Linked DNA regions of Diceros bicornis minor. The protein of the gene in region 2 purifies or fractionates together with the protein of the main gene of each other region. This does not show direct contact. Links are inferred from orthologs where the notes say so. Each region holds a gene or a part of one and is shown on either strand. Other genes may lie near its edges.

Region 1 (7,411 bases), on a different chromosome or scaffold from region 2:
AATTTTGGGAAGTTGCATTTGAGGAATCTGTGACACACACACGTTGAACTGTCCAGGATGTAGTTGGGCATGTGAGTCTGGGGTCTGGTATATGAGTGTGAAAAAAAGTCTCCTGTAGAATGTAAAACCCAAGCCTGTGCCTTGTGGATGCAGGGTCTAGATGTAAATTGCCGGATTGGAATATTGATCCCAAACTGAGAAATGAGCTCAAAAAGACTCTTGGACCTCTGGGGCGAGACAAAAAGCAAATTCTCTTTGGGAACGCTTCTTCACCTCAGGGCACAGGGGACTCCCCAGAAATAACACCCATGAAGATGAGTACCTGAGAAAAAACTACAATTGGATCCACCACAAGGAAGTGTCAGTGGGTGACACCAGAGCCCATTTAGATGATTAACCATGGTTAGAATTACAGTATGAATTACCAGCATTTACAGTGCGTGGAATTCCATTTTGTAGTAACTTGACACCCAGACATTAGCTTTTCCCAGCACTAGCTGAGGAATTTCTAAATGGGATGGAGGAGCTTAGAGGTGGCAATCTGGTACATGGGGCGGGGCTAGAGGACTTGTCTTGAAACTGTATTTGCAAAGCAGCACGGTGTTTCTACTTAAATTCCATCTGTTTATTTGGGGAGATGATGAAGATTATGGAGGCGGCTAACCCCTGCCCCTAGCCGTGCCTAGGTGTTGTCACAGGCTTTTGACCCTAATTTTAACTCTTTTCTGTACAGTTTCTTGATGGTAAAAAGCTGGTCAACAGGGAAACTAGAATTTTGATTATTTTCAAAAGAGATGAGGGATGGGGAAACGGACAATGCATTCTCCTGACATCTCTTGTTCCCCCCTTTTAAGCTGGATGGACCTCCAGCCTCTTTTTCCTGGGCCAGAGTTTCCCAAATTGTGTTTCCTGCATATCTATAGATATTATAAGAAAAAAGGTTTCCAGGGTCAAATTCGTTTGGAAATGCTATATTAAAAAGGGAGTGTATGAGTTTTCTAGGGCTGCCGTAACAAAGTACCACAGACTGGGTGGCTTAAAACAAGAGAAATTTATTCTCTTACGGTTCTAGGGGCTAGAAGTCTGAAATCAAGGTGTCAGCAAGGTTGGTTCCTTCCTGGGGGCTCAAAGAGAGAATATATTCCACGCCTCTCTCTCTTAGCCTCTGGTGTTGCCAACAATCCTTGGCATTCCTTGGCTTGTAGATGCATCACTCCAATCTCTGCCTCCTTCTTAGTAAAGTATTCTCCCTGTGTGTCCACATCTCTTATCCTCTTCTTATAAGAACACCAGTCACTGGATTTAGAGCCCACCCTACTTCAGTATGACCTCATCTTAACTTGATTACATCTGCAAGGACTCTGTTTCCAAATAAAGTCATATTTACAGGTACCAGGGATTAGGACTTGAACATATCTGTTTAGGGGACACAGTTTAACCCACAACAGGGAGAAATAGATTTCTTCATCTTACAATTTGTTAGGCTTCAATTTTGGCGATTCTGTAAACGAGAGTGGACAGAGCATGCTGATTTTTTCAAATTCAAGTAATCATGAAAAACTTATTTTTAATGGAGTGTCCCATGTGACCAGTGTTCTGAGGAACATATTTGGGTGGGTGGGGAAGAAGTGGAGCCTCTCTCTCATTAAGCCTCTGTTTAGCAATGACCACTCACTTTCCTAAAGGTTTACAGTGACTGTACAGTCTGGTTGCCTGATGGTGGCTGCTCCTTATGGCTGCTCTGGCCAGAGATCCTTGGCAGCCACTGGGGTGGAGATTGCCTCTTTCTGGGGGCCCTGAGGCCTGGCTAGTGAGGCTGAGGTAATATGGTGGGGTAGGCTAGCCAATCCAGGCCATGCTGGAGGAGAGCCTTTGGTGTTTGTGGCTATGGGGCTCCGGTTTTAGACGTCCCAGAACTGGCATGATGTTGCATTTTCTGAAGCTTGAAATGGGATATTGAGTCTGCGAGTTCAAGGGCGCATTGGGGAACATTTGACGGAGCTGCTCTGTCCCAACGGGCAAGTTGTAAAACGCATGCCCCTAGGGGGTGCAATTCACATTGTAGACATGGTAGATCAAATTTTCTTGTAGTAAGAGTGGCCTGTTCTCAAAACATCGGTATTTTGTGACAATTTTCCAGCAGTTGTCAATAAAGTCCCCTGAGGAAGGGGCACCTTTTTCTAGTTGGTACAAAGGTGACATATGGGGTAAAGGTGGTCCTGAATGGGAAGGAGAAGCCATCACAATGGGCTCTTGGAATGTTAGGTCTGAAATGGCTCTTGAGAGAGGAGTGGTCCAACTCTGGATTTGCTAAGAATCTTGCTTACAAATAATAGAAACCCAACTCCAACTGGCTAAAGCCAAAGGAGAACTAATCATAAGAACAGGGATGCACCTACAACTAAGGAACATACTGGATCCAGGGACTCTGGCACAGTCAGGACCTACCTCTGTCTCTCTGTTCTCTCTTCTCTGCTCTTCTTAATGCATCTGGGACCTACTTTCCTTCCTTCTTAGTTTACGTTGTACGAAACCTGGTGGCAGACAACTCCTGGGAGTCACATGGTAGCGATTCATTGGCCAGCAGAGAGATTGGCCTCTTCTAGGTTCCAGTGTCAAAATCCTGGGGAGGAGACTTAATTGACTCAGCTTTGATCAGATCAATCAAATAGCCTGTGTGTGTGTGTGTGTGTGTGTGTGTGTGTGTGTGTGAAAGAGAGAGAGAGAGAGAGAGAGAGAGAGAGAGAGAGGGAGGGAGGGAGGGAAAGAGGGAGGGAGAGAGAGAGAGAGGGAGGGAGGGAGGGAAAGAGGGAGGGAGAGAGAGAGAGAGACTGTAACCACAGCAACTGAGTGGATGTTGGGAGTGGGACCGGTAATGGTCACACATCCTACAGAGGAGCATTGCAAACAGAGGTCCAGAGACAGAAAATGGCTTGTCACCAGTCGCATAGTCAGTTGACAGCAGAGATGGGAGTGGACCGAGATCTTATATGGCTAAGTCTGTGTGTTCTTCATAATCCAATACTGCCTCCTTTCAACAAAGTGGTGATTTTATTGATACAATTTTGCATTTCAAGGTAAAAATTTTTACTAAAATCTAATCAGAAAATTCTGTAGCTCTTCCAGAAGAGGCAAATGGAGAAATGAAGAACTATAAAGAGAAAGACATTATATAAATACTCAGGGTGTTTCCCAGTCCATTAACTAAATACTTGCATACCTTCCAGGGCTGGGGCCAAAGAGATGTGTTTAAACAGTGAAGGAGACGGAGTAATTGGGAGGTGCTTCACAATCCCTACTTCATTGGGTTTTAGGTATGCCTTAAGTTATTTGCCCTTCAAATTTGTGAGGTGGGTATTGTTAACTCCATTTTTCAGATGAGGATGCTGACATTCAGCAAGATTATTACCCAAGATGATGAGAGAGCCAAGATTTCAACTCAACCCGAGTTTGCCCAATACCAGCGCGGTAACTCTTTATTATTAATCCACAAAGACTGAATAGTGATGAATGAAACATTCTGACATGACATTTCTGCAGGTTTCTGGGACAACCGCTGATCACCTGGGGTTGCCCTTCTTTTTTTTTTTTTTTGAGGAAGAGTGGCCCTTTGCTAACATTTGTTGCCAGTCTTCCTCTTTTTTCTTTTTTCTCCCCAAAGCCCCAGTACATAGTTGTGTATCATAGTCGTAGAGTTGTAGCTCTTCTATGTGGGACACTGCCTCAGCACGCCTTGGTGAGTGGTGAGTATGTCCGCGCCCGGGATCTGAACTAGCGAACCCTGGACTGCTGAAGCGGAACTCCAGAACTCAACCGCTGCACCACCGGGCTGGCCCGGCGTTGCCCTTCTTGTAATAACGGCTGCCACTTTTTTGAGCAGTTGTTATGTATCAGATACTGTGCTAGGTTTGTGATCGCATTTAATCCTTAGGACAACCTATGAGGATGGTACTACTGTATTATTATCTATTTTACAGGATAGGAAGTTTAGGCTTAAGCTATTGCCTTTTCCTGAGTATTCTATGAATAAATTCCTATTAGTTAAATGCCTAATATAGTGCTAAGTTAATAAATTAACAAAACTCTTGACCAATTGGCCCGATACTCCACACGCGTGATGTATCCACTCTCTGCCACTAGGTGACGTCACGACCAACCCCACCACTATATTCCCTGCCAAGAGCCACCGCCGATATCTCGCGAGAGCCGTGGTTTCCTCCAAACTGTTTTGGATATACGCGCGGCGTAGGACACTTTAGTCAGGGTAGTTTCATGGTTTTCAGTCAATCTTCCTAGACTAAGGCTTTAACAAGGTACTTACTGCCTTTCAGCCACCCGAGTTCTCGCGAGACTTGCTACTCTGCTTCCCTCCACCCCCTTGCGCCTGCGCAGATCTCTTCAAAGCAGAAGGTCGCGCTTGGAGGAAGTGGTGGCTGTGGGTTCCGCGTCCGCAGCGCCATTACTAGTTTTCTGAAGGTCCTCTCGGCCGCTTGCCGAGACACCCCGCCACCAAGATGCCTCGAATTATGATCAAGGGAGGCGTGTGGAGGAATACCGAGGTAAGTTACCTTTTCCCGCCGTCCGCTGCCCTCCGCCCCCTCTGGCAGCTTGTGCGCAGGCGCGCGGAGCTCGGGGAGGCGTGGAGGATGTGCCCAGTGGGGTCGGCCGCTGGGGCAGAGCGGGGAGTATCCTCGGGGCCGTTATGTGGTGCCAGGCCCGTTGTTATCTGAGCACGTCTGGGGGCGGACCGTGGTTTAACCCCTGACTACCTGCCAAGCACTTGTTAGGCCCGTCGTGAACATTTGTTAAGTGAGGACGCGCCCCCCGCCCTGGAGGAACTCAGTGTGGAGGGGGAGATAGGACATCCGCGAGAGTTGGTTTTCTGGGACACCCCCGTCCCTCAGCCCGGGCACCATGTCTCTCTCTGACACTAAAAAATAAACAAGTGCTGTGGCCACAAGTTTGTTGCTTCATTGACTTGCTTGTAGAGGGGAAGCAGCTGGAGTGCCAGGTTCAAAGAGCCCATTTCTGCCCGCATCTCCGGTTATCTGTTATCAAGGCATAGCTTGTCTCTCCTCCCGACAGATCCTGTCGCTTCTTGTCTTTCCGCCTCAGCCTGGATAGAAGCCAGATAGGACAGACTGCCTACAGTAGTCTCTTTGCTTCCAGAAATGTAGCGGATAATGCTAGTGGTGAGCCAAAGGGCAGAAGAGAGGGAGTAAAATAGAAATAAGATTTTAATGCCGTTTGTGTTTACAGTGCGCGGTATTTGTCGGTTTCTGGAGCACATCATATCTTTTCCTGCCTCTTCCCCCTTGGCGTCTTTCTGACCATCCTTCAAAACCCAATTCAGAAACTCTTCTTCGAATTTTTGCCCATTCACCCTGTAAAAATTAACTGCACCCTCAGGGGTCCATGGCACCTCTTTCATCTAGTTGTATTTTGCTTTGTCCTTTTGCAAGAATCACATTCTTCTGTGTGATGCTGGTAGGTTTCTTTTTTTTTTTTTTAGACTTTATTTATTTATTTATTTTTTTTGTGAGGAAGATCAGCCCTGAGCTAACATCCATGCTAATCCTCCTCTTTTTGCTGAGGAAGACCGGCTCTGAGCTAACATCTATTGCCAATCCTCCTCCTTTTTTTCCCCCCAAAGCCCCAGTAGATAGTTGTATGTCATAGTTGCACATCCTTGTAGTTGCTGTATGTGGGACGCGGCCTCAGCATGGCCCGAGAAGCAGTGCCTTGGTGCGCGCCTGGGATCTGAACCCCGGGCCGCCAGTAGCGGAGCGCACGCGCTTAAACGCTAAGCCACGGGGCCGGCCTGCTGGTAAGTTTCTGATAACCTCTCACAGCCTCAGTTTTCTCATTTTTCTAATAGGGATGATAATACTACTTACTCTCTTGAGGATTAAGTGAGTCAGTACATTTGGAACATTTAGAACAGAGTCTGCTGTGTAGTAGTCTTTCAGTAAGTGCTAGTTGCTATTTCTTTCCCCCAGCAGACAGCATTGTAATTGTTATCCCTAGAACCTAGATCAGTAACTAATATGAAGTAGGTTGCTTGGCAGATGTTTGTGGAATGAATCTAGTAGGATAGATAACTGGTATGTATACCTAGTTGAAGATGTGTTTGAGTATAGCAGTACTGCAACAGAGTTACAAATAAACTCTGTGACAGCCTTGCCTCAGAGCTTGCAGAGCAGGAAACAGGCTGTTTAAATTGGAGAAGAGATGCCTTCTGGGAGAGAGACAGATGTACAAAAACAAATAACAGCAGGATTCCTATGCAGTGGCCAAAGCCCTGTAGTCTTTTTAAATCTCTGATGATGGGGGTGGAGGTGGAGTGGCCCATGTATGTATGAGCCATGTAGCTCGAGTTCAATGTGGAAAAACGCCTAAAAGTAAAATGCCGCAAGTGGATTCATCTCTGGCACTGTTATCCCTGGTGTCTGTGGCTTAGCTTGCTGGGCTTCCCTGGAAATGGTGAATTCTATATTGGAGTGGGTGCCCTGGTGAAATAGTATCTAGAGACTGGGGGAGGCTGGAGGCATAACTGACCCATGAGGTAAGAACTGACTTAATTCTTAGGTTAGATCTGAGATGTGGATTTTTGGGTCAGAGTAAGAGTTATGGGACTGGAGAGAAAATGCCATTTGTAAACTGGAGACAGGAAGCCTGGATTGGAGAGTGGATTCACCAGGGTCTTGACTTGCTTCTTGAGGGCTGGATGTGGCCTATTCGATTCTTTTTCCCCAAGTACCCAAGACCCGGTACAAGGTAGGTGTTCAGGAAATGTTTTCTGAATGAATGAATAAGTGAATGAGCTGTACTCTTTTGAAGAGAATGACAGCTACACATTGGAGAATACTTTTTGTTAATCTCTATCAAATAGGGTCTCTCAGATTGGGCTGTACCCACTCCCAATTTATTGGGGGAGTGTTGTGTGTAAGGGAGGGTAGGATATCCTAAGGGATTTCCCCCTAATTTCTTGCATTTGGCTGATTCTGGCTTGCTAGAATGAGGTTTTTGTACTTTCTGTTTAAACCTAGGCGGGGTGTGTGTGTGAGTGTGTGTGTGTTTCTCTCTCTTTCTCCCTAGCAACCCTGTTAGAGTTAATTTAAATTTTGTCTTTTCTTGCTTGGAGTTTTGTGATTGAATATACTGTTTTTCTTTGACAATTTTTTAGGATGAAATTCTGAAAGCAGCGGTAATGAAATATGGGAAAAACCAGTGGTCTAGGATTGCCTCATTGCTGCATAGAAAATCAGCAAAGCAGTGCAAAGCCAGATGGTATGTACCAGTTAATGAGTGGAAAACAGTAAATGACCTTCATTATGATGAACAAAATGTCAGTTCTTTGAACCTTACCAAAGAAAGCAGGCATTGTGATATAACAGAAAGTATGGAGTGG
Region 2 (7,598 bases):
TTCGTGGTGAGAAAGACCTGAGTTCAAATCCAGATTCCGCCTCAATTATCCATCACTGAAGTCTTAGATAACTAAACTGCGGAAATGGGATCCTTTCAACAGCTCCAATATCACATGATTTTTTTTATATCTTTTCTTTTTCTCCCAAAAGCCCCAGTACACAGGTGTATATTCTAGTTGTAGATCCTTCTAGTTCTTCTATGTGAGCAGCCAGAGCATGGCTACTGACAGACAAGTGGTGTGGTTCCACACCTGGGAACCGAAACCAGGCTGCCGAAGTGGAGCATGTCGAACTTGAACCATTAGGCAACCAGGGCTGGCTCAATCATAGGATTTTTTTTAAACAGTTTTCTTGAGATATAATTCACATAGCATACAATTTACCCATTTAAAGTGTAAATTCAGTGGTTTTGAGCCTCAGGGTTTTTGCAGGATTTGATGATATTGAACACACAAATTGTCATTACTATTAATAATTCTTTGATGGTGACTTACACTATTTTCTTAGGCTAGGTTCTTAGAACCAGAAATATGGGATAAAAACCTATAAACCTCTCAAAGGTTTTGGAAATAAGCCCTGTGAAGATAGAAGGTGTTCCTCTGGAGGTTTTAAATTTTTGTTTTTTGGGTTTTGTGTGTGTGTATATGTTTGGATAGAATTTGGTATGAAATTGTTGGGCTATTTGACTCAAGAAGCCCTCATGCCTTCTCCCTTGTGTAACCCTGAATTACACTCACCCCAAACCCACACACACAGTAATTAGGGGAAGTCGATTCTGGTTTACTGAACCTCCCTGCCCTGTCACCCACCCTTGCAGAGCCACCAGCCTGTCCCTCTCCATATCCAATGAGACTCACTCCTTCAGCGAGTGTTGCATTGGTACCATCTCCAACTGCCCATCTAATTAATTACACCAAGCATGCTGCCTGACAGGCTGGCAGGAAAGAGAGGCAGTGGGTCTCCGCCAACTCCATGGGGTACCCAACCTACCTACTAACAAATTGTAAAAACATACTCCATTTGGCTGTGGGAAGACTGACTGCAGGTTTTAGGGCAGAGTTAGCGAAGTGTCAGCCAAACCCAGGAGCACGTTGCACCAGAGTGATGTGTGGGTGAATCCTGAGGCATCCTGGCAGGTGTGGGAGCAGGTTACGTGAGATGGGTGTGGGTTAGGTGGTGAGGGATGAGAGGAAGGTGCAGGAAGGGTGGGTGGGGTCAGAGGTGCACCAGGGTGGAGGTGAGGAACGGGGCCCCAGTCAGGGTTGGTCCTAGTAGTTAGACCAGTGCTTTGGAACCATTTTTGGGTCATGGCGTCCTTTGAGCATCTGATGGATGCTGAGGAAAGAATGCGTGCGTGCGCTCACACACACACACACACACACACACACAGACACACACACCACAAATTTTGCACACAACGTCAGGGTTTCCTGAAACCCAGGAAGTTCATCCAAGGCCCAGGATTAAGAACTTCTGGGCTAGAGCCAGCCCTGATGGCCTAGTGGTTGAAGTTCAGCACTCTTACAGCTTCGGCGGCCCAGGTTCGCTTCCCAGTTGCAGAACACACCACCCATCTGTCAGTTGCCATGCTGTGGCAGCGGCTCACATAGAAGAACTAGAAGGACTTAGAACTGGGATGTACAACTATGCACTGGGGCTTTGGGGAGGGAAAAAAAGAGGAAGATTGGCAACAGATGTTAGCTCAGGGCGAATCTTTCCCTGCAAAAAAAAAGAAAAGACCTTCTGGTCTAGACTAGTTTACAGAGACTTGTCAGAAAGAAATCCTAAGGCTGCATTAAGAGCTTGAGAATGTTTGTGTCTTCTCTAGTAAAAGAGATTTAGGGAGGTCTGTGGGTTTGGGAATTAAATTGTAAAGTCCAGTTATTCCACAAATGCTTTATTTAGTTTCTTCCAGTTTTTATTTTTAAAATGTTCAAATCTACCAAAAAGTTGCAAGCTCATGTAGTCTCCAATTGTCAACATTTCTCCCTAATTACTCCGCTCTCCTCATGGATGCTCGTGCTCTCAGGAACCCATGTTTTCCTGGAGACTTTCCTTACCATTTGAGAGTAAGATGCAGATATTATGATACTTCATCCCTAAACACTTGGCATGTAACTCCTAAAATCAAGAGATTCTCCTTCATAACCACAACATAATCCCCACACTCACCAAACTTAACATTGAAACAATACTATTATGGAACATACATCCTATATTCAAATTTCCCCAGTAGTCCCAATAGTGTCCTTTTAGCTTTATTCTTTCTCCTTCCCTGCCTCCTTCCATCCCTCCTTTCCTTCCTACTTTTTCATCCAGGATCAAATCCAGAATTAGATACTTCATTTAGTTCTCTCTCTCAGGCTCCTTTAATCAAGAACACTACTCCAGAGTTTTGTTTTGTTTTTGCTTGTGACATTGACATTTTGGAAAAGTTCAGGCTGTTTTGTAGAATGTTCCCTAGTTTGGATTTGTCTGTGTTTTCCATGATTAGATTCAAGTTAAGCATTTTTGGCAAATGTTGCATCCCTTCTTGGTGCCTCACATCAGAGGGTCTGTTGGCCCCTTATTGATGATGTTAAGTTTGATTCATGGTTAAAGTGGTGACCTCCAGGCTCCCCTTTGAAATTAATAGGTGATCTGTGGGGTAACATTGTATTTGTTTAAAGCCTCCAACTGAGGCAAATGCTGGGTGAGCCAATGGTAAACACCCAACTCTGTCCTCTCTCTCAGGCTGTTTTTACAGTGCCAGAGGCAGACAATAACCTAGGAAACAAACAAATAATTACAAAATAGGCAGGTTTCTGAAGGATGGAGATAGGGTGCTGAGATAAGAGAAGTATCAACTCTAACACTTAAAGTGAGCTTAAAGGTGAGACTTGAAGAGGAAAAAGGAGTCAGCCGTGGGAAAGTGGGGGTGGAGGGAGTGGAGGTGGCCTTGGTCAACCTTGGAGGGTGGAAGGAACTGAAAGATGGGCATGTGGTGGTCTAAGGGAGGGCAAAGCGATAGGAGAAAGGCCCTGGGTCTGGTAATAATAATGTTGAACACTTAGTATCTGCTAAACACTGTTCTAAGTATTTCACATGGTTTACTTTGTCTAATTCTCTCCATAGCCCTGTGAAGTAGGTGCCATTACTACTTGTGTGTGTGTGTATGAGGAAAACTGGCTCTGAGCTAACATTCATTGCCAATCCTCCTCTTTTTGCTGAGGAAAATTAGCCCTGAGCTAACATCTGTGCTCATCTTCCTTTATTTTGTATGTGGGATGCCGCCACAGCGTGGCTTGATGAGCGGCATGCATAAGTCCACGCCTGGGATCCGAACCTGTGAACCCCAGGCCACCGAAGTGTGAGAACTTAACCACTACACCACTCAGCCAGCCCTGCCATTACTATCTTCATGCTGTAAAATCTGCAGCACCGAGACATTCAGTTATTAGCCCAAGGTCACACAGCTTGTAAGTAGCAGAGCTGGGATTCAAATCTGGATGGATCTGACTCCACAGTCTGTGCTCTTAACTACATTAAGAAGGAGGAAGCAAGGTCTCACCTAGAAAATAGAAAGTGAAAAAGGATTGGAATCAGAGCAACCTGGACTGAGTGAAGAAGTTCCGCTGATAAAGGATGTGGGATGGGAAAGCAAGACAAAAGAACGGCCCAGAAGATCAAAGAGAGAAGAGAGTTCTGGCCTAGAAGGCAACATAAAATAGGCTAAAGTTTGGTTGGCTGCTCCACCTTCAGTCCATGCCCAACCCCCAGCCTGTCCCTTCAGGCGGGACTCTCATGATTCTCCTGCTCTCCATCCTCCCAAACGAAACCAGGGTATTCACACAGTCTCAAAGTATCTCCCCACAGATTGATTATTAATTACAAAGGGAAAAATAGGAACTTTACAGTGAGAAACCTGGCTGGCTGGGGGTGGGTTGGAGGGTTTGTGAGGAAGGCTCTAGATGAAAAGAGTGGGGAAGTCTTGGGGTTGAGGAGTCTATGGGTGACAGGACAGGGTCCATTGGGGGAAGGGGAGGGGTCTCTGGGAGGGATGGACAAATCTTGAGGTGGGGAGACTCTGAATGATAAAAGCCAGTCATTGGGGAGGCACTTGATGGGAATAGTTTGGGTGACAGGAGGGTCAGAATAGGGTCTATGGGAGGTCGGGTGGGTAAATTCTGGATGACTAGAGGGTAGAGAGCTTGGGGTAGGAGTGTCCAGGGAAGTCCTGAAAGGGTACACGGAGGGTAAAGCTTCAGGGCAGCAGCCTGTGGGTTGGGGAGGCCCTTTGGCGAGCGCGTGCGACCAGACCGAAGATGGGCAGATTTGGAGGGGGCTGCGGACGGCGGGGGGCCGGGGGCGGGGCCGGCGCGCCCGGCAGGTCCCCCCGCACTGCAGGGGGCGCTGTGAGCTGGGCGGCCCCGGGCCGGGCGGCGGCCGCTCCTAGTGAGCGCGGCCCCTTTTCCGGATTTCCTCCTCCTTCTCCTCCTCCTCCTCCTCCTCCTCCTCCTTCGCCGCCGCCGCGGCCGCCGCTGCCCCTTTCCCGGCCGGCGGCTGCCGCTGCTGGTGCCACCGCCGCCGCCGCCGCTTCGGGGCCGCGAGCCGAGCGGAGGCCGCCGAGGAGCGCGAGCGCCGCCCGCCCCGCCGCCCCGCCGGCCGCTCCAGGGCCGGGCCGGCTCGGCCGGCGCCCCCCGCGCCCCCAGCCCGCCCGCCCCCGCGGGCCCGGCCTGGCGCGGCCGCCCGCCGCCGCGCTCCTCCTCCTCCTCCGGCGCCCCGCGGCCCGCCGCCTCCTCCGCCCGCCGCCCCGCGCCCCCGGCCGGGCCGCCGCCGCCGCCGCCCTCTGCGCCCCGCGGCGCCCCCCGGTCCCGCCCGCCATGCCCGGCCCGGCCGCGGGCAGCAGGGCCCGGGTCTACGCCGAGGTGAACAGCCTGAGGAGCCGCGAGTACTGGGACTACGAGGCTCACGTCCCGAGCTGGGGGTAACGCCGCCGCCGCCGCCCCCCGCCCGGCCCCTCGCCCCCCACCCTCGCCGGCCGCCCCCCAGCGCGAACCGCACTCGCCCCCCGGCCCTGTCTCCCCGCCCGCTCCTCCGCTGGGCCCGTGCTTCCTCGGCTCTGGGCTGGGAGGCAGAGCCCCCCCCACACATGTGCTCATCTTCCTCTCCCCCCTTTCTCGTCCGTTTCTCCCCGCCTTGCGCCCCCGTCCCTCCCCCGTGTCCCCAGGAATGCTTTCTTAGCGGCGAGAAGTGTAGGGTCCGGGGACCAGAGCCTGGTGGAAGTGAGAGAGCTCTTCCTCCTCACACTTTTGGGTTTCTATTGGGGTGGGAAGTCAGCAGCTGTCTTCTTGAGCTATTACAATTCTCGGCCTTTTTAGTCTTTTGAAATGAGGCTGGGTGGGAGGAAATTTTTCAAAGCTGTCCAGATTCTCGAAGCTGGCCCTGGCTGCCTTGAGGGTGTGAAGGATAAGACAGGTGCTGTGGCGCCCCGGGCAGAGGGGCACCCTCTGCGCCTCAAGGATGGATGCTTTGCTCATCCCTATAGATTGGCTCGGAGTGGTGCCTTCCTACCTCCTCTCCCCAAGTTAGGAGGGACCAGTTAGGTTAGGAGCTCTGAGCAGAGTGAAGGCAGCCAAGTGTGTGTTGTGGCTTTCATTTAGGGAATGAGTTGTGGTGTGATAGGTAGACACTTCCAAGTGCTTGATTAATGGAAGCGGCTGGATAGGGGTGTATAGTGGGCATAGGCCTAGTTAATCCGAAGTCCTGGCATTTATGTGTCGTTCTTGCCTTTCACAGTAATCAAGATGATTACCAACTGGTTCGAAAACTTGGTCGGGGAAAGTATAGTGAAGTATTTGAGGCCATTAACATCACCAACAATGAGAGAGTGGTTGTAAAAATTCTCAAGGTGAGTGTCTTATGAGTGGCATTAAATTTTTTTCCACAGGTCAGAAGGATATAAACGACCCCAGCCACATTCTAGAGTGAGCAATACGTGCTCTTATTTTGCGTATCTTCTGTCTCATGTCCTTCTGCTATTGCTTCTCCCACCCCATTTTCCTGTGAACTTTCAAGAAAATATGCAGACCTGTTTCGAATCTAAGTTTGATAGTTCAGGACCATCCTTGTTTTGAAATGTAGTTACGGACTCCCAAAGTGAAAATTCCAGAGGGGCTCCATTTGTTCCAAAATAAATAGGTATTCAGAAGAAAGAAAAGCCTTTTCATGAAGATTGCATCAGTCCAAGGGCTCCTTGAGCACTGAGTTTGTTACCCTTGGTGCTCTCAGTTGTTCCAGAAAGCAAGTCGGAAAAAATTGGAGCGGGTTCAAAGATGAGTTTGAAGCCTGAGTGGAGAGAAACACCTTGGTGGATAATCACTTGTTTCTTCTCCTCTGGTGATAAAAGTTTCAGGTGAGGTGGATGTAGTGAGCCAGTAGTGCCAGGAAGGTTCATTGTTGCTTATCAGCTAGTAGAAGTGAAATTGGAAGCAGTAGAAGAGTACACTTGAATCACTAAAATAGTAATTGGAACAAAGCAGTCTTAGTGTCTGGTTTAGTAGCTTAAGTTTGATAAGCTACAGCTTTTGTCATCTCTTGGGTGAAGACCCGATCTTAATGAGCGTGAGGAGTTGGCTGAATTCTCCTTCAGGTGACTGATTGTGTAGCTTTAATAACGTTTTATAGGGTGTACTAAAAAGTGATTCTTAGCATCTGTGAAGGGTTTTCATCATTACCAGATCATTTAACGTGTGTGCGTGTCATTTAGTGAAATACCGAGACAACCAAAAAGTAATTAATATAAGCACTTTTATATCTACAAGATTTCCAGTGTGGCCATTTTGCAGAGGCTCTGAATAAGAATGTGGGATTGAAAAGCTGTTTTTGTGTCTTAAGGATAGGGTTAGGGCAGCTGTGCAGCTGTTTAATATGAGGGGTCAGACTTACATTGTCTGAAAATCACCTTTTGGAAAAGTGATCAACTCTGTTAGTACCATCCTAGCCTAGTGTTGAAGAAGCAGAATTGAATTAGAAATAGGCAGTTATTTGTGCTGTTAGAAACACTGAGAGTGAGAAGTGAGGAATTGATACTGAAGATGTGGAGTTTGACTCCCCTCTTCCCTAAATATGAATTGCACTTACAAAGTCACATGGTCTTTTGTTTTTCTCTTTATAAGCATAAATATTTAAAGAAATGCTTCCTTCAGAGAAGTCACCTGGGGAAGCTATACAGTTTTTTCCTTTATACATAAGCATAAATGTTTTTAATATAAGCTGCTTAAAATCTTTCTAGGCAGTAAGCAAGGCATAAATTGAAATTAGGAATATCCTTATTCCACTGCTGTGCATTCAGAAGAATGAACTGCTGACTCTAAAGCAATTCAGAAAAATGTCTAAACTTTTGTGCCATGGCAGCATTTTTAGAATAAGTCTGCAACTTCCTGTGGTGTCTTTTTTGAAAGGAACAGCATTCAGGTGTACATATAAGTAACAGTATGTTCATTTAGGAAAGCTTTGTGTTGCTCTTTACTTATCCTTCTAGAGAACTTCATAGGGTCAGTTGCTGGATAGTGTTTCCTCTGCTCTAAAGATGTGCAGGATATGTTTAGGGAACCCA
Region 3 (7,796 bases), on a different chromosome or scaffold from region 2:
AGAAGGCGGAGATAACCAAAATGAAGGCAGAGCCTAACAGCCACCGCCTTGGCAAACCTCCTGAAGGCGGAGCGTGAGGCTTAAGGCACTCCCGATCTCCAGGGTAGATTTGGAGGCATCCTCAGACTCGAAAAATTGAGGAAGGAGACCAAACAGGCCACAGCATAAAGGAACCTTCACCCCACACTTCAGAGAAAGGATAAAAGGTCCAGAGTTACAGACAAAAGATAATAAGAACGGCTGGTCACTTCCTCCTTGGCCAACGAGTGTTAATGGCAGTACCTAGGCCCTCTCTGTGTAGGTAATAGTGCCTCGAACACAAGAGACAAAGTGCTTGCAACACCTAGGTTGCTTTTATTTATTCACCAAATAGGGCAAAGAACTGACTCTGGCCTTGCTTTGGGGGGCGCTCACAGAGCGCCAGGAGAGGAGGGGGCGGGGCCAGAGTTTTCCCGCTCTCTCTAGCAAAAAGGCTACTCCCCCAAGAGAGGCTAGAGTCAGTCCCCAAGTGGCAGGCCCCCCGCAACCGACTCCTAGCTCCTGTCTTGTCCTCCTTCCACAACCCAGCGGAGACGGCAAGAATCGAGCGCTGGCAACAGGTGGGCCTGACTCCAAGGATGGCTTCCAGCCGCAAGGAAAAGGCAGCGAACTGTGAACTCCATGAGTAGCTGACAGATGGGAGCAGTCTCGCCGGGAGCCAAGCCCTGCCCCAGAACGGAGCTCTAAAAATAAGTCACACAGACCGAAGCGACCCCTCGGCCAAACCTGTAGGAAGTTACGAAGAAGCGGCACTTACGCAGAAATGACCTAGGGCTACCTTTAACTTGGGCTGTCCCCCGCTCCCTGGACTGGGTGCCACACGGTGCTCCTACCTGGACATCAAGAACCACTTCGAACTCAAGTAGGATTGGGCCGCCCCGACTTCTCGGTCAACAGGGGATGAGCTACCCCGGATCTTGCCTAAGGCATCCAGGCCAATCCTAGGTTGCTCAGAGTTTTAGATAAAGCCAAGTAAGGACTGCGGCTGCCTTGCGCTGGGAAGAAAACACACTGTCAGCGTCGGCAGCGTTCTCAAGCTTAAGCTCAGGGTGGTCTCCTGGAAGTCGAGAGGCGCAGGAATAGTCCGAACTTTAGTACTTGGCCCGGAAGGACAGATCGCACCTCCTCCTCCCAACCTCTGCAGAACCCCCGGAGCTAAGCCCCCCAAATCCACTCCACACCGTCACCCTTACACTTCATCACAAAGACTACCAGGTCGCGAGCTTGGAGGAATCATTGTGTGCCTTCTCGGTTCTCCCTTCCCCCCTCCCCCCGCCAAGGGCTCCGAACCGGGGACTTCCGGGCGGGAGGACAGTTCGAAGGAGCAAGGCGGGCCTCACACATGTGCGGAGCGCGCACACAAGCGAGGGGAGGGGGCGGGGAACAGGGCTGGACTTCCCTCTCCAAGCTCGCTCCGCCGGAGCAGGCGGGACTATCCATCTCACCAACCAGAAGTGGGGGCGGGACCTTGCGCCACACGTAGGCCGCAAGAATCCTCCTCCGCCCTTCACTGAAAAAAATCCTAGCAACTTAAACTCCAGCCCGGTCTCCGATAGGCGGAGCTCGGGAGAATGTCACCCAATCGATAAGCGAGAAGGAAAAAAGGGAGTCTCGTCCAGCCAGTGGAAGACAAGAGAAGGCGGGCTCTCTGGAGGAGCCCGAGGTGGGTGGAAGAGACAAGACAAGGCCCCGCCCCTCGGCCCCGCTCGGGGCTGGTTGCACAAGCCGCCGCCGGAGTCGATAGTAAATAGGCTAGGCCAAGGAATGGAAGCTGGGGCAACCCGGCGCTCTGTGGGCCGGGGCCCCTGCGCCTCCTCTCCCGGCGCGCCCCGCCCAACCCCGGCGGTTCACGCCGGCGCCCCGCCTCCCAGCCCGCGGCCGCCATCCCGGCTGACAGGCGCGCCCCCCCGCGCCCCTCCCCGCCCGCTGATGCATTTCCTTTTCCCGATTCTGAGCGTGAAGACTGTTTTCCCAGTTTCCGACCTTCACTGCCCCTTTCAGGCAACCCCTCGTGGGCGCGCACACACGCCCGCGCCCCCGTCCCCGCCCCATCCGCGGGCGAGCGGCACGACCGGGGGGTGCGGCGGGGACCCGCCGCCGCCGCCGCCTTAGGGTGGGCGGGGAAGGAGGGAGCTCCATGTTTGCAAGGGGATCAGCTGGGGCCGCGGGTCGAAGCCGCCGAGTTCCTGGAGGTTTTTCCACATCCCCGGGCCGAGTTCCGCGCGGGTTCGCGGCCTGGTGGGTTCCGGGACCGAATGCTGGCTCTACTGCCACGGCTCGGGAGTTTGAAGAGCCCAGACCGGCGCGCGGGGCGAGTGCCGAGGCGCGGGGGGCTCTTTCCGGTGTCCTCCCCCACCCCCAGCAGCACCTCCCGCGAGTCCAGCGTTGCCCCCGCCCCCAGAGTCCATAACAACCGCGGGCCCACCGCCCCCTCCGACAAGTTTGCGGACAGAAACAAAACCCTCGCGGCGACTGCCGCCCTCGCCCAGCGTGGTTAGCGGGGAAAGCCGCGGGCCTCGGCTCGCTAGCTAACTCCAGCTCTCGACCAACTCCGGGCGCCGCGGGCTCAGGCCGCCGCCCCCTGCCGAGCCCGCGCGCCGCAGCCCGGGCCCAGTTCCAGTCGGTGTACGGAATCTCTCCTTTTTTCTTCTTTACAATAATTTTTTTTTAGGCATTCCAGGAGCGGGGAGGATCTCCTCCTGCCCGCCCCTTACCCAGTCCGCCGCCGAAACCTACCGAAACTGACTGCTCGGTGAAATAAACTAGGCAGCACTGCCAGCGCACTGGCGACCCCGGGCCGGGCCGACCCCCTCCCCACGGATCGGGCCCGGCTTGGAAACACACACTGCCGGGCGGGCGGCGCCAAGAGCTCTCTTTCCTGGCCTGCCCCTCGCCTCCCTCGGCTGCCGGACTCCGAGCCTCCCCTAGCTCCGAACCGGGGCCTTCGGCGCCCGCACCGTGGCGGACTGGCCAAAACGACCGGCCGGCGAACTAGCCCCCCAAACGCCCGAGATTGGGGAGACCAAATGAAAAGCAGCTGTTTAACATACCTTCCGAGGCAGGCGAGGAGTCCTGAATGGGGGGGAACGCCCCCCATGGGCCATTGGCTCCCCGGCGCTCGCGTCAGTCACCCTGGGCCCGCCTCCTCCCCTCGCTCCACCTCTTCCCCTTCATTGAACGCCCCCTACCTCCAAAAATATATAAATAAATAAATAAAACTAGCCGCGAGTGGGAGGCCCATCCATGGCAGAGGCTTCTGTCTCTCCGGCACCGCCGCCTCGAGTTTCTTGAGACCCTTGGGAGATCCGCAGGGTGTACCCAGAGGAGGAGCTAGCGGGGCTACTCGGCCACCACTTCCTTCACATACACACCCCATTTGGAGCCGGGCAGAGGGAGGCGGGTACGGACACCCTAGCGACCGGCTGGAATGTCCCGATTCCCCTGGCTGTGTAACCGAACCGTTTCTGGCCCATTCTGTTAAGGCGCCTGCCTAAAAATGAGCAGCGTAAGCGGGAAGTCCTGCGTTCAGGGCAACAGGCACTTGTCTGAGCATCTAATGTGGGTGAGGCAGACACATTCATACCGCACCTGCTGCTGGGTACGATTACAGAGACTGGATGAAATGCTCTGTACCCTCCAAGGGCTCCACACCTAGCTGAGGGTATGCTACAGAAAGAGCTAAGGCAAGGCAGGAATGTATATATAAATACACATCCATAGAAGCTCAGAGAAGGGAGATTCTTTCTAGCTGAGGAAAACTGGGAGTCTTCATGGAAGAGGCAGCACTCAAGTTGGGTCTTCAAGATTTCATCAGGCAGAAATGGAGGGGCAAGTCATTTTCAGCAAAGGGCACAAAGGGGTAAATGCAAAACATTGTTAAGGACCTTCAAGTGTGGCTGTAGTAATGAAAATCAGGGTTGGAAGGATGGAACAAAACGGCAGAAGACTTTAATAACTGGTTAAAATTCTTAGACTTGCACAACACAACGTGCAAGCAGCATGGTCACAGGACCACAAGCCCAGAACTATGGTTTAAGATACTCAATATCCCAGCAGCTGGATGGGCTCTGAGAGTAGGTTGAGTGAGGAGTCACTACAGGAAGCAAGGTGAGGCACAAAGGTTGTTGTAATACTTGGTTTGGAAACCTCAGAGGTACACCTTCTGGTAGGAGGGGTAGGTGGGGGGGACCCGAGAGAAGGCTTCTTTTCTCTTTCCCAGCCACCCAACCCAGAAAGCCTTCCCTACCTTCAGCAGCCCTCAAGTCAAAGATCTGCCTCAGATTGTTCCCAGAATCATTTGCAGTGTTTGTCATAACTTTCAACCAAAAAGAGTTTCTGGGAGGCAAAGGCTACTCCACATGTCTGCGCTCAACAGAGCTGAGCCTGGGGCCAGGGCACACAATGAGTGAGCAAGCAAGACCTGTTGATTGAGGCATCCGGGAAAGGAAGTTAGTGTGGATCAGGTGGGATATGCAGAATGTGAAGGGTCTTAAGAGTCCTGTGGGCAGAATGGGGGCCTGTGCCAGTTAATCAGTCCCAACAATTCAGGTGAGATGTCATGAGGACTTGACCAGGGCAGTGGCAATGGGTAAGCAAGAATAAAAAAGGAGAGGTGTTTAAGAAAGACTCAAGGGGACTGGGTGACTGATTCAGTGTGAGTAATGGAGGGAAAGGAGTCAGTGGCCTGGTATGTGAAGAGGCAGAAGAGTGTGAGGCTGGTGGTTGGGTGATCTGGGTTCTAGACATAGCATGGCCAGTGACTGGTATATCCTTAGGCAAGTCCCTTCCTCCCTCTGGGGCTGTTCCCCCCCACCTCACCCCCGGCTGGAAATTGGAGTACAAAGACAGGCTCTAAGGACCCTTCCTTCTCTCACTCAAGAGTCCCTGGGGGTGAGGGGTCTGATGAGGAGGGAAGCTTGCCTCTAAGGAGAGGGCAGACTGGAAGAAATACTGATTTGCAAGGGCAGCAGATCATCCCAGGTGGAGTGGGGACTAGAATTTGGGCAGTAGCTTGGTTGATGGAATCACTGAGGGGAAGGGTGTAGAGGGGGAAAGGCCAGGAGATGAGGACTGTGTATTCAGTGGGAGGCCCAACACCTGACAGGGCCATAGAGGTTGAGGTTCATTCTCAGACTGGGGGCTCCCTAGAGTGAGGACCAAGTTTTTCTACATCAGATCAGAGATCCCTCGATGTCTGGAGCCCCATCTCAGATTCCTGCTCTATTTCCCAAGAGGTTCTGCCCTAGATGAAGGCATAACACATGCTGTGAACGTGAGATGAGGCAGAGTGGTAGACCAGAAAGAATATTAGTCTGTAAGCTGAGTCCCACCTAATCTCTTTTCTGTGGATCAGCCTCCTGTCTTGTACAAGAGGATAACATAGCAATCTTTGCCCTGTTATGAAGATCAAATGTGATAAAATGTGCTTTAATATACCTAGTTAGGTTCTGAGCTTCTGTGGAGGCCAAAGGCCCAAGCATTTGAGTGTAAGCCTGGACAGCGGTATACTGTGGATGAAGTTCCTTTAAGGAGCATTTGCAACTAGAATAGTTACTCCCACTCAGAGACCCAGACTTTTTTGACACTTCCTACCCTCCTGAGTGCACCACGCTGGTGGAAATCCCCTCCTGAACACCCCCTAGACTGAGCTCCTAGAGCATAGCCACTCTATCTAATTTCACCTCTGAGCCCCCAGTGCCCACAGCAGTCAGGCATAAGAGGCCCCTTGGAAGGGGTCCAGTGATTGTTTCTGACTCAGTACATTGATGCCTGCATAGCACAGCCAGTCCCAGACTCTTTGGGAAAGTGAGTATTTGATTTGGCAGCATTGGCCCTCCAGCTGCACTGAAGGTTGCATCCACCCGACCTCTTCCCTACTGTCTATCAGTGAGGACGGAACAGTGAACGGATCTGGGTGAGAGCTTCCTTGGAAAAGTCACATTGGGAAGCCAAGTTCTGATTCCCAGGAGGCCTCTTTTGTGTGAGTTAGGGATTATTATCCTGTTTGTAGTTGAGCAAACTGAGGCTCAGAGCAGTACAATGACTTGCCCAAGTCAAGCAGCCATGGCAATTCTGGGCCCAAAGCCTGAGCTTTGTCTATGCCCCCATGTGCTATCTATCTCTATACACACTAGGGTACCATGGTCCAGGTTGGGGCTTCTGGATAAAAACAGCCTCCCCTCCTGCTCCACCCTCCCTACTTCCCTAACTCCAAGAGCAGTTTGTCCCCAAATAGTTCTAAATGATTTCTGGCCCTTTCCAAAAAAAATTATCCTCAAAGACGCAAGATTTGTCTCCCAACCACATATATACATGCCTCCTCAACTCACAACACATATACAGTACTCAAAACTCTCACACCTTCTGACACGCTCTCTCACAGGCATCACACACACATATACCCCCTCATTCACAAAAAGGACTCATTCATAGTTCTTGAGGGTGCTTATGGGTTGTGATTGACATTTAGGGCCTGCCTTTCAGTGACTCTGCCAAAAAGATGTCAGCGTCAGTGCTAGTGCCCTGCTGACAGAACCTCTGCCAGCTATAGAAGACCATTGTCAGCTTGGGAATATCCAGATGAGGGGCATCTGAGACTTGCTCCCACCCCCAACCCAAAGTACCCTACGGCTTCAAGGGGAAAACTCAAGCTATTGTTCAGAATCCCAGTTTAGTTGCTTCCTAGCTGGACGTCTTTGGCAAGTCACTTATCTTTCCAATTTCCTTATCCGTAAACTAAGAATAAGAATACCTACGTGATGGGGCAAGCCCCGTGGCATAGCGGTTAACTGCGCGTGCTCCACTGCTGGTGGCCCGGGGTTTGGATCCGGGGCGCGCACTGATACATCGCTCGTCAAGCCATGCTGTGGCGGCATCCCATATAAAGTGGAGGAAGATGGGCACAGATGTTAGCCCAGGGTCAGTCTTCCTCAGCAAAAAAAAAAAAAAAAAAAGAATACCTACATGAGTGTGGTAAAAATAAACTATGCCTAGCATTTAGTCAAGACTTCTCAGAACTTTTTCTCCTTTATCTTGTTGCTATACCCTTGTCTCCTGGCCATTCAGATGTGAAGTTTCCGGTGCTGCAGTCTAAGAGCCCAGGACAGGCCTAAAGGACCCAATGATCCCACTGTGTGAAGAAACTATTTCTCTGACAACCAGCTGGCTTAGGTTGTACATATTCTGTATTTCTGATTTCTGGGCGGCTTTGGAGGCTTGGAATTTTTTAGTGGGTTTTAAGACTGCTACTCACTGCCTTGAAATGTCTTCCCCTCACTGAGCATTAATTTACCCCTCTGGGTCACTTCCAGTCCAAATCTAGAAAACAGATATAACAATATGTTCTCCAATTTACCTGGCTCTATGTTTTCAAAGTGCTTCCTTTTGTATATCACTTGTTTGGTGATTTCTTTTTAAAGCAGCAGGTTCCTTTGTTCAAATGAAATCTTATTCAGAGGGCTAATATGTAAGAGATAAAGGTGGGCCTCACTTTGGTTGAAGTGGAGACAGCCCAAGCACTGCCATCTCTATTCCTTCACCTACCATTCATGCCTCCTCCCTGTCAGCCCCTGCCCCGAGAAGACCACCAGTGAACCTACATTTCCAAATCTTGTTCATTCATCCCAGCCACTCCCCAAGTCTCATCAGTCTGTGAGAATACAGCCTGGCCTTGTCCTGTTACCTCTGCCTATTAATCACAATCTTTCACAGCCTTTTTCTTCTTCAATCCTCCCCTAAATGTTAGTGGCTCCCAGGGG
Region 4 (7,703 bases), on a different chromosome or scaffold from region 2:
GGACGTGAAAAGAGTCTGGGATTTGGAGGCAGCAGAGCAAGGTTTGGTCCTGACTCTCCTGTTTAGTGCTGGTAACCTTGGGCAAGTCATTCATTCATTCATTCAATAAGCATTTATTCAGAATCTCCTTGTGTCAGTCACATAATCTTTGCAAAATGGTAACAATACCCATCCTCACTACCTTTCAGGACTGTTTAGAGGAGCTAATGAAATCATACTTATGAAGTGTTCAAGGTGAACGCTATACAAACGTACAATATTGGTGTTAATTTGCAAAAAGATAAAACAAACTTGGAGGGGCGGGGGGTGAAGGCCCAAACCACAGCTCTCAGTGTGTCGCTTGTACGAGACACACTCCTCTTTCGGGCTGTCCTGCTGTGCCCTGCACACTCCTGAGTCAAGCCAGACTTTGCCCAGGACTCCTTTCTCTTCATCTCTGTCCTTGGAAGCCCCTCTCTTGCTCCAAGGCCCTCATCAAAAGCTTCTGCTTCCGTGAAGTCCTTCTTGCTCTTGGGAATTAATTTCTCCATCCCACGTGTCCCTCCTCTGTTTCAGCCATTGCTGTGTTCCACCTGTGAACTATTGCGATGTGTTTCTAGATGAAGTCCTGCTCTTAGTCAGACAGTAGTGTTCTTGAGGGAGATGGCCATGTTCTCTTCCAGGAATCCTGGCTCTGCCCCTTTAGCTCATGTGACCTCTGTCAGGGGCACTGTCTTCTCTGAGCCTCAGTTTCCTTCTCTGTAAAACCTACCTATCCTTGCTGACGGTTGTGAAGATGAAATACTGCACGTCAAGGGTCCAGCACAGTGCGCCTTGTGTTTAATGGGCAGCCTTCCTATAGACGGCTTCTGAATAAAACTGAACAGCATGCATGCTTTGTTGGGCTCCTAATATGCACATAGAGGAGGTGGCCACTTAATATGCGCAAATGAGGAATGTCGGGATGATCCCCACCCAGTAATATTTTCCCCACCCAGGATTTGGTACCTGAAGTGTCACCAGTTAATATTAATTCCTCCTCAAAGGCACTCCTTGATGTTTCAATACCACGGGGAGAGGCGAAGCATTCAACCACTCACCCTTCTGGAGTCTTGGGTGATGGTGGCCACGGTCATGGGTGTGGGGGGGAGGTGAGGATTCTGAAGAGAGACTTGGCAGAACTGGTGTTGCCTCATGTCACATGTTTATTTAAAACCAAATATAACACATTTATTTAAAATCAAAGTTTCAGGATCTTGTGTGTTTTTTTCCTGACACCCATTCTCCAACAACTGGGTGTCCAACAATTCAGTTCAATTCTGACATTAACTACCCAGAGTTAGCGCAGACCCCACAGGTTTAGGGCTCAGTCCCAGAAGTCTGTCCACTTCAGATGCCAGCCACAAGTGGGGTCCCCAGGCTACCCACACTTATGCTCTACAGACTATAAATTCGGGGTTCCCATGACTCCCCCTTAAGTTCCATGATTCGCTAGAATGACTCAGAACTCAGGGAAGCACTTCACTCACTATTGCTGGTTTATCATAAAGGATGCAACTCAGGAACAGCCAAAGGGAAAAGAAATGTGGAGGGGAGGAGGGGGGCATTGGTGCAGGGCTTCCACACCCTTTCCGAGTGCGCCACCCTCCCTGCATCTCAATGTGTTCATTAACCTGGAAGCTCTCTGAACCCCATCATTTGGGGGTTTTTATGGAGATTTTATTATGTGGGCATGATTAATTAAATCATTGGCCATTAGTGATTGAAGTCCATCTCCAGCCCTTCTCTCCTTCCCGGAGGTGGGGGGTGGGGCTGAAAGTTCCAACTCTCTTATCACGAGGTTGCTTTCTCTGGCCACCAGCCCCCATCCTGAAGCTACCTAGGGGCCCAGCGAGAGTCATCTCGTTAGCATAAACTCAGGTGTGGTTGAAAGGGGCTCTTTATGAATAACAAAAGACACTCCCACCACTCAGGAAATTTCTAGCGTTTTAGGAGCTCTGTGCCAGGGACTGAGGACCAAGACCAAATGTATATTTTCAATTACATCACAGACCCCCTGATGTTCTTACTTAAATACCATAGTTTTCGGAGCTGAAGAGAGGAAGGTGGAGGACTGGAGACGTTCTCTTTAAAGATGGTCTTTCAACTTCTTTGAAGTCCTTACGAGTCCTTTCTTCCAAATCAGAGTGTGTCTTGACCTTGTGGGAAGGTCCCTAGAGTGCAGGCCCTTCCCTTCTTTCCTATTGCTTGCTTTCTTCTCAGCAGTCCTCAGTTTTAGCAACCCCCCCGCCCCCAGAGCTCCACCTGCTCTCTGGCATGGTCAGCGCGGGGGCAGCCGCTCTCCTTCCTCTCCAAGTTGTCAGTGGCTGGGGAGGGTCTGCTTTCCGCTGGTCTTGACTGTACACTCGGCAGAAGTCCAGGTGAGAATGTCACACCCTGCTTCCCCCTTAGTGCTTAAAACATGAAGCCCGGACTCCTTACACTCCCACCCAGCCCCCAGCCTCCCTTCCCCGGCTTTCTCTCTCCTCACTCCTCCCCTGTTTGGCCACAAGCAGCCTGGCCCTTGGGTTTTCATCCTTCAAACATCCCAAGGCTTTTCCATCTCTCACCCCTTTTCCCCCCAAGGTCAGCTCCTCTGCACACTTGTTCCTTCGGTCACAAACATTTATGGAATGTGTCCCATCTGCCAGGCCCTGTGCTGGACACCAAGGAGGCTCGAAGGAAGGATGGCATGGGCTCTGCCCTTGAGGCACTGAATCTCTTCCTCCTTTTCAATAGCTGTCAGGTGAGACCCAGGTCCTCCCTGAGGCATTCCCCGAATACCGTCACCCACAGGCCTCCCGCCCTCCTCCCAGCCTCTCATCCACTTGGCACCTGGCACCACTTCCCTGTTTTGACATCCCTTCAGGTTTCTGTGTCTCCCCAGCTAGATGCTAGGAAGGACTTCCTCCATTCACACTGTGTACTGCGTGTGCCTGCTGCAGAGCAGGACAACACAGTCCGGCCCCTGTTCTACTCTCCTGTGCGTCAGATGGATGAGAAAGAAGAATATGTATGATAAGTACACAGGAGGGCAAATGTTATGCAGGGAGCAAACAATGGGGTGCTGGCTTAGATGGGGTGTCAGAAAAGTCCCTCCCTCTCCTACCCTGGAGGTCTCTCAAGGTCGGGCGCTGTGTCATACAGAGCTATTCTTTTCATTAAAAGATGAGAGACCAATACACACTGTTGAAAAATTTAAAACTGTCCTTTGTAGTTATTTCCACTTTATACTAGAAGTTACAGACGTTCCACATAGAAGGGGTGTCAGGGGGATCACCTGATTGCAAAGAGGGACTTGGAGCCCAAGACAGAGGAGCCTCAATCATCCACCTCACAGGGGCAAATGGCGGCAGTAACACTGTATGATTCAATGGTAACACTGTAGATTGGCCAAGGGGTGGACCTGTTTGTAGGACAGTGTCTGTGAGCAGAGGAGTCTTGGCAGAAATTTCTGTAGAGGCAACAGGATGGAGAGGGTGGTTAGCGTGGTGGTGATGTGGCTGGTGTCTGGGCTGGTTTTATGGAGATGGGATTCAGGAGCTCGGAGAGCTGAGAATGTGATGCACAGGAGATTCTAGGAGACAATTCCAAGGCAGAAGTAGGATCAACGGCCCAGTCCTTCCTTCTCCTCCAAAAGGGGAAAAAAGCAATTGCCCTACATAGCAATCTGACTATGCTAGTAATAGGAATATCAGTAACTAGGATATCAAATGCCCCAGCCTCCGAAAATATGTACAGTCCATTCACTGAAGGGAATAGACTTATGGGTATCAAACAGGAAAAGAAGCCAAGATGGCACCTCAGGAGTCAGGAGTTGTTTTAAAACTGAATCTATTAGTCCACATTCATTCATTCACTTCAAGACTGACAGCTGTGATCTTAGTAGATAGATAGTTTCTTTTCTCTTTGTCTCCTGAAAGAGTCTTCGTTCTTATCACTACCCCACAACCTCTCAAATTCCTTGAAGACTAAGGTAGCAGAGGAATGCATGAATAAACGAAAGAATGACCAGGTGAAATAACATACATAGACGAAATGTTTATCTGGCACACAGTACCATCTCAGCAAATCTCAAGGAAGCAGTTGGTGCTGTTGGTGGAGACAGCAGGCTCAGTCTGTGTTGGAGTCCAGTCCTGCCACTTACTGAAGCGTGACCTTGGGCAGGGTCCTTTACCACTCTGTGCCTCAGTTTCCACCTTTGTCACCTGGGGCTAGTAATACTACCAAACTCATAGGTTTGTTGTAAGGATTAACTGAATGAATCCATTTAAATGCACAGTACAGTGCATGGCACATTGTAGGCATTAAAGAAAAGCTAGCTATTATTATAAAATTATTTTATCAATTTACACATTTAGTCAGGGAAGGAAAGCTCCCATGCTTGTATGGAGTTACCATAAATAAGTGAACTGGAGGAGCTGAAGGGCCTGATCTAAAGGGGAGACCGAGGTTAGGGAAGCGTGGGGCCAGCCCTGTGATTTTCAGAATCTGCTCTTTGGGAGCATCACCCCAGGTCCCAGCATGGCTCCTGAAAACGTAAAGGCCTTTTACATTTTCTCCTCAAGCCCTTATTTATTCATTTATTTCTCAAAACCCTGCTTTTACGGAGCGAGGGCCCTTGGCCAGATCTTGAGTTGTGAGGTTTCTTCTCAGCACCTCTTCTTTCTCAGCCCTGCACCCGCCAGGTGGCCTGCGCCCACCTCACCTTTCTTTGGGGTCCCGTGTCCAGCACGTTTCCCCTATCTCAGACCTCAAGGAAGGGCTTCGAAAATTCATAGAGAACGCCAGGGCGTCACCCTTCCCAGGGTGAACTGCAAATGAGAGGAGTGACTCTGCAGAGGTGGAATTTGGGGCGTCTGCAACGCGCGTAGGGGCGGAGCGGGGCCTCCCCGGCGGACCCTGTCTCGCCAGCAGGTGGCGGTCTATCTGCGAGGCCTGCAAGGTTCCCGTCCAGAAACTTGAACGGGATGTTGATGCCACTGCATAAGATCACAGTCGAATCTTCCCGAGCCGAGCTGTCGGCATCCGCGAAAAAGTGGGGAGAGAAGGGCGCTGACTTGCGGCTGGAGTGACTCAAGGATTGAGACACCACTAGCTTCATTCGGGAAGGCTTCAGGAGGGGTGAGTACTGAGCGGTGCACGGAAAACGGAGCGCTGTCCTTTTCTTAGAGCACTGTCCTTGGCTTGCATTGACTGGCCTTCCGACCCTCTGGGAAAGACATTTCTGAAAAGGAGCTGCCTGATAAGATGGAGGGAGCCCGGGAAGAAGCCCGGGGAGCCGGTGCCCGCGCGCCTGGCGCTCTGCAGCGGGAGGAGCGCGGGTTCCCTCCCGCCAGATGGCGCTGTCTGGCTTTCCCGTGGCCTCCCTCTCCAGTCCCCAGAGGCCTCCGCCGCAGCGGCCGCTCTAGCCAAGCGGCGCGGGCTCTGTGGTTCCGGGCGGAAGTGAGGCGCCGAGCGGAACGGCCTCTGGTGACATTTTCTCCGGGCGGCGCGGACGAGTGAAGGGAGTTGGTGGTGGAGGTTGCGGAGGCGGCGAGATTAGCTTTGCCTCTGCCGGGGCTCTGACGGCGACCCTTTGCTCGCCGCCGGGGCTTGTGCTGCGGAGGAGAAGGCGGCGGTGGCCGTCGCGTCCCGAGTCACCGCGGCCGGGAGCGTCCCGGCCGGGAGGTCGGTGCGTGCCCCGACGGGGCGTGCGGAGCGGGCGAGGAGGTGCGGAGCCGCCGCGGATCGCAGGTGAGGCGGGAAGGGGCGCAGGGCCGCGGCCCGGCTGCCGGTCGAGCCGTGGGAGCGGGCGGCGTCCCGGGGAGGGGTTGGAGCGCTGCGGGCCGCGGGGAGGGCTCTGCGGCGTCCGGGCGCGGGGGTTGTGCCGGGCCCAGCTGGGGGGCGCCAGGCGTTCGTGCCCGGACGTGGCGGGAGGCTCGGCCCCGGGGAGTGTACCGAGGGGGGCGGCACAGCCCTGACCCTTTGCTGCCCGCCCGCTGGTGACCCTGGCGTCCTCCTGGCCGAGTTGGCTGGCCGAGCTCCCCCTTCCCTGGGCCGCTGGGGCCCGGGCGAGGCGAGAGGAGGCTGGGGGGGCCGCAGCCCGCGGGCCGCGCGGGGCAGCGGCTTTGCAGCCCCGGAGTTGTCTTCACGCAACTTTCCGGCGCCTCGGGCTGCCGGGGAAGCGGTGGGGGCAGTTCTGCTAATTCAGCCAGCCCCGCGAGCCGGGGTCTGACGCCGGCACCTGCCCCTGCTCCTGCGAGCTTTGGGGCCGCCCCAGCGCCGCAGCCCCCGGGGCCTAGGAGGAGGGAGAGGAGGCTTTCTTAGGCTGGGCGCCGCCTGCCTCTCGGCGCTTCCACAGCCTTCGGTCGGCAAACGCCTCTGGTCCATGGGAGGGATGTGTCAGTCTCCAAAATTGACCTCTTCTGGCGAGTTTGTCAACTTTATTTAGAAAACCGGGGAGGATGTAAACTGACGAGCCCCAAGTTAAAGATCATCGTCTTCTCTGACTCTTCCCAGAGAGAGTTCTCTTGTCTTCCCCAGTAGCGCTTTGTATTCGGTACTTTATTTCTTATAGCACCGACCTCAGTATATTGTTGGGGCAGCAGCCCTCCAGAGAACCGCACGTCATACATTCTCCCTTTAAATCGTCCTTTCTGCTGTCACAGGATAGATACTCCCAGGTTGAAGGAATGAACGTCTGTACTTGTTCTCCCAGATTGAAAGGCTTGAGCACTTTATGTTTGGATGAGCTTTTGCTTTCTGAATCCTTCCACCTAGTAGGATGAAAAATCCCACTGATGATGCTTTGTCAAGGTTGAACCCCTTAATTACAAATACATCTGGCAGTTTTGCTTAGGCTGGTACTGTGTAGTGTCGTTGGACACATGCTAACAGTTTGAATCATTCCCTTTCTTCTGGGATATTTTAAGAATGGAGGCTGTTAACTTTCTAATGTAGTTTTGCTGATCGTGGCAATCTGGCTTCCTCCAGGGAGGGCATTGCCTTTTGGTTTAACAAGCATTTTTAGAGGCCTGCAATTGATGGTTATTATCTGATGTCCTGAGGAGTCACAGTGCTTAGTAGGAAGTGTAATATTTTGGTTGAGTAATCTGGCCAACACAATGCCTAGTTGAGTGCTTTATGCACAGTAGGTGCTCAGTAAATATAAAATAATGAATTAAATTTGAATTCAGGAAACTAAGATGGAATTTACTGCAATGACTTTTATGCTGCATTAAAAAGAACCTTAGTGAAATTTCATGCAGTTCTATTAAGTGAGAAATAAAAATATTTTTAGATCTTTCTAAATCAGGTTCCTTCAGAGTGCTTCTCAGTACCTCTGTAGTCTTAAAACTTCAAACCATGTCTTTTTTATAACGTATTGTAGATGTAAACTTCAAAATAGGCGTGTACAGTATGAAAGACAGGGAAAAACTTCAAGGGTAATTATACTTAACGCATCAGCTAAATATGATTTCTTAATGGAAATTTTTTTTTCCTGACATCTTTTTGTGAAAAATGGAATGGACTGGATTTTGGAGCCGGAAACTTTCCCCATTGTTAGCTTCATAGTGTGGTTGTTACATTACTCACTAGTTCAGTTTATATTACTCTTAAATGCATTTATGAAACAGTGTCATAATCATTCTCTTTGTTTTATAGTCTTCATGATTAATCCAAGACTCGTATATGAAAGATAA

What was found.
Region 1: the proteins of CSNK2A2 (region 2) and CDC5L purify together in Homo sapiens (affinity purification with mass spectrometry; 3 studies listed by BioGRID and IntAct, counting the BioPlex papers as one, with this or other methods). This does not show direct contact. The link is inferred for Diceros bicornis minor from reciprocal best matches to the Homo sapiens genes CSNK2A2 and CDC5L.
Region 3: the proteins of CSNK2A2 (region 2) and SIN3A purify together in Homo sapiens (affinity purification with mass spectrometry; 3 studies listed by BioGRID and IntAct, with this or other methods). This does not show direct contact. The link is inferred for Diceros bicornis minor from reciprocal best matches to the Homo sapiens genes CSNK2A2 and SIN3A.
Region 4: the proteins of CSNK2A2 (region 2) and ARK2N purify together in Homo sapiens (affinity purification with mass spectrometry; 6 studies listed by BioGRID and IntAct, counting the BioPlex papers as one, with this or other methods). This does not show direct contact. The link is inferred for Diceros bicornis minor from reciprocal best matches to the Homo sapiens genes CSNK2A2 and ARK2N.

The regions. Positions count from the first base shown.
Region 1 is NC_080753.1:21,503,001-21,510,411, reverse strand, and holds the start of CDC5L (cell division cycle 5-like protein), read left to right. Parts: upstream 1-4,403; 5' UTR 4,404-4,514; coding exon 4,515-4,559; intron 4,560-7,186; coding exon 7,187-7,290; intron 7,291-7,411.
Region 2 is NC_080771.1:11,518,463-11,526,060, reverse strand, and holds the start of CSNK2A2 (casein kinase II subunit alpha'), read left to right. Parts: upstream 1-4,581; 5' UTR 4,582-4,863; coding exon 4,864-4,967; intron 4,968-5,779; coding exon 5,780-5,891; intron 5,892-7,598.
Region 3 is NC_080744.1:68,207,242-68,215,037, forward strand, and holds the start of SIN3A (paired amphipathic helix protein Sin3a), read right to left. Parts: upstream 3,012-7,796; 5' UTR 2,776-3,011; intron 1-2,775. UniProt on the Homo sapiens protein: Acts as a transcriptional repressor. Corepressor for REST. Interacts with MXI1 to repress MYC responsive genes and antagonize MYC oncogenic activities. Also interacts with MXD1-MAX heterodimers to repress transcription by tethering SIN3A to DNA.
Region 4 is NC_080755.1:39,164,404-39,172,106, forward strand, and holds the start of ARK2N (protein ARK2N), read left to right. Parts: upstream 1-4,690; 5' UTR 4,691-5,142; intron 5,143-5,467; exon of another isoform or gene 5,468-5,754; intron 5,755-7,703. UniProt on the Homo sapiens protein: AMPK substrate important for exercise capacity and skeletal muscle function.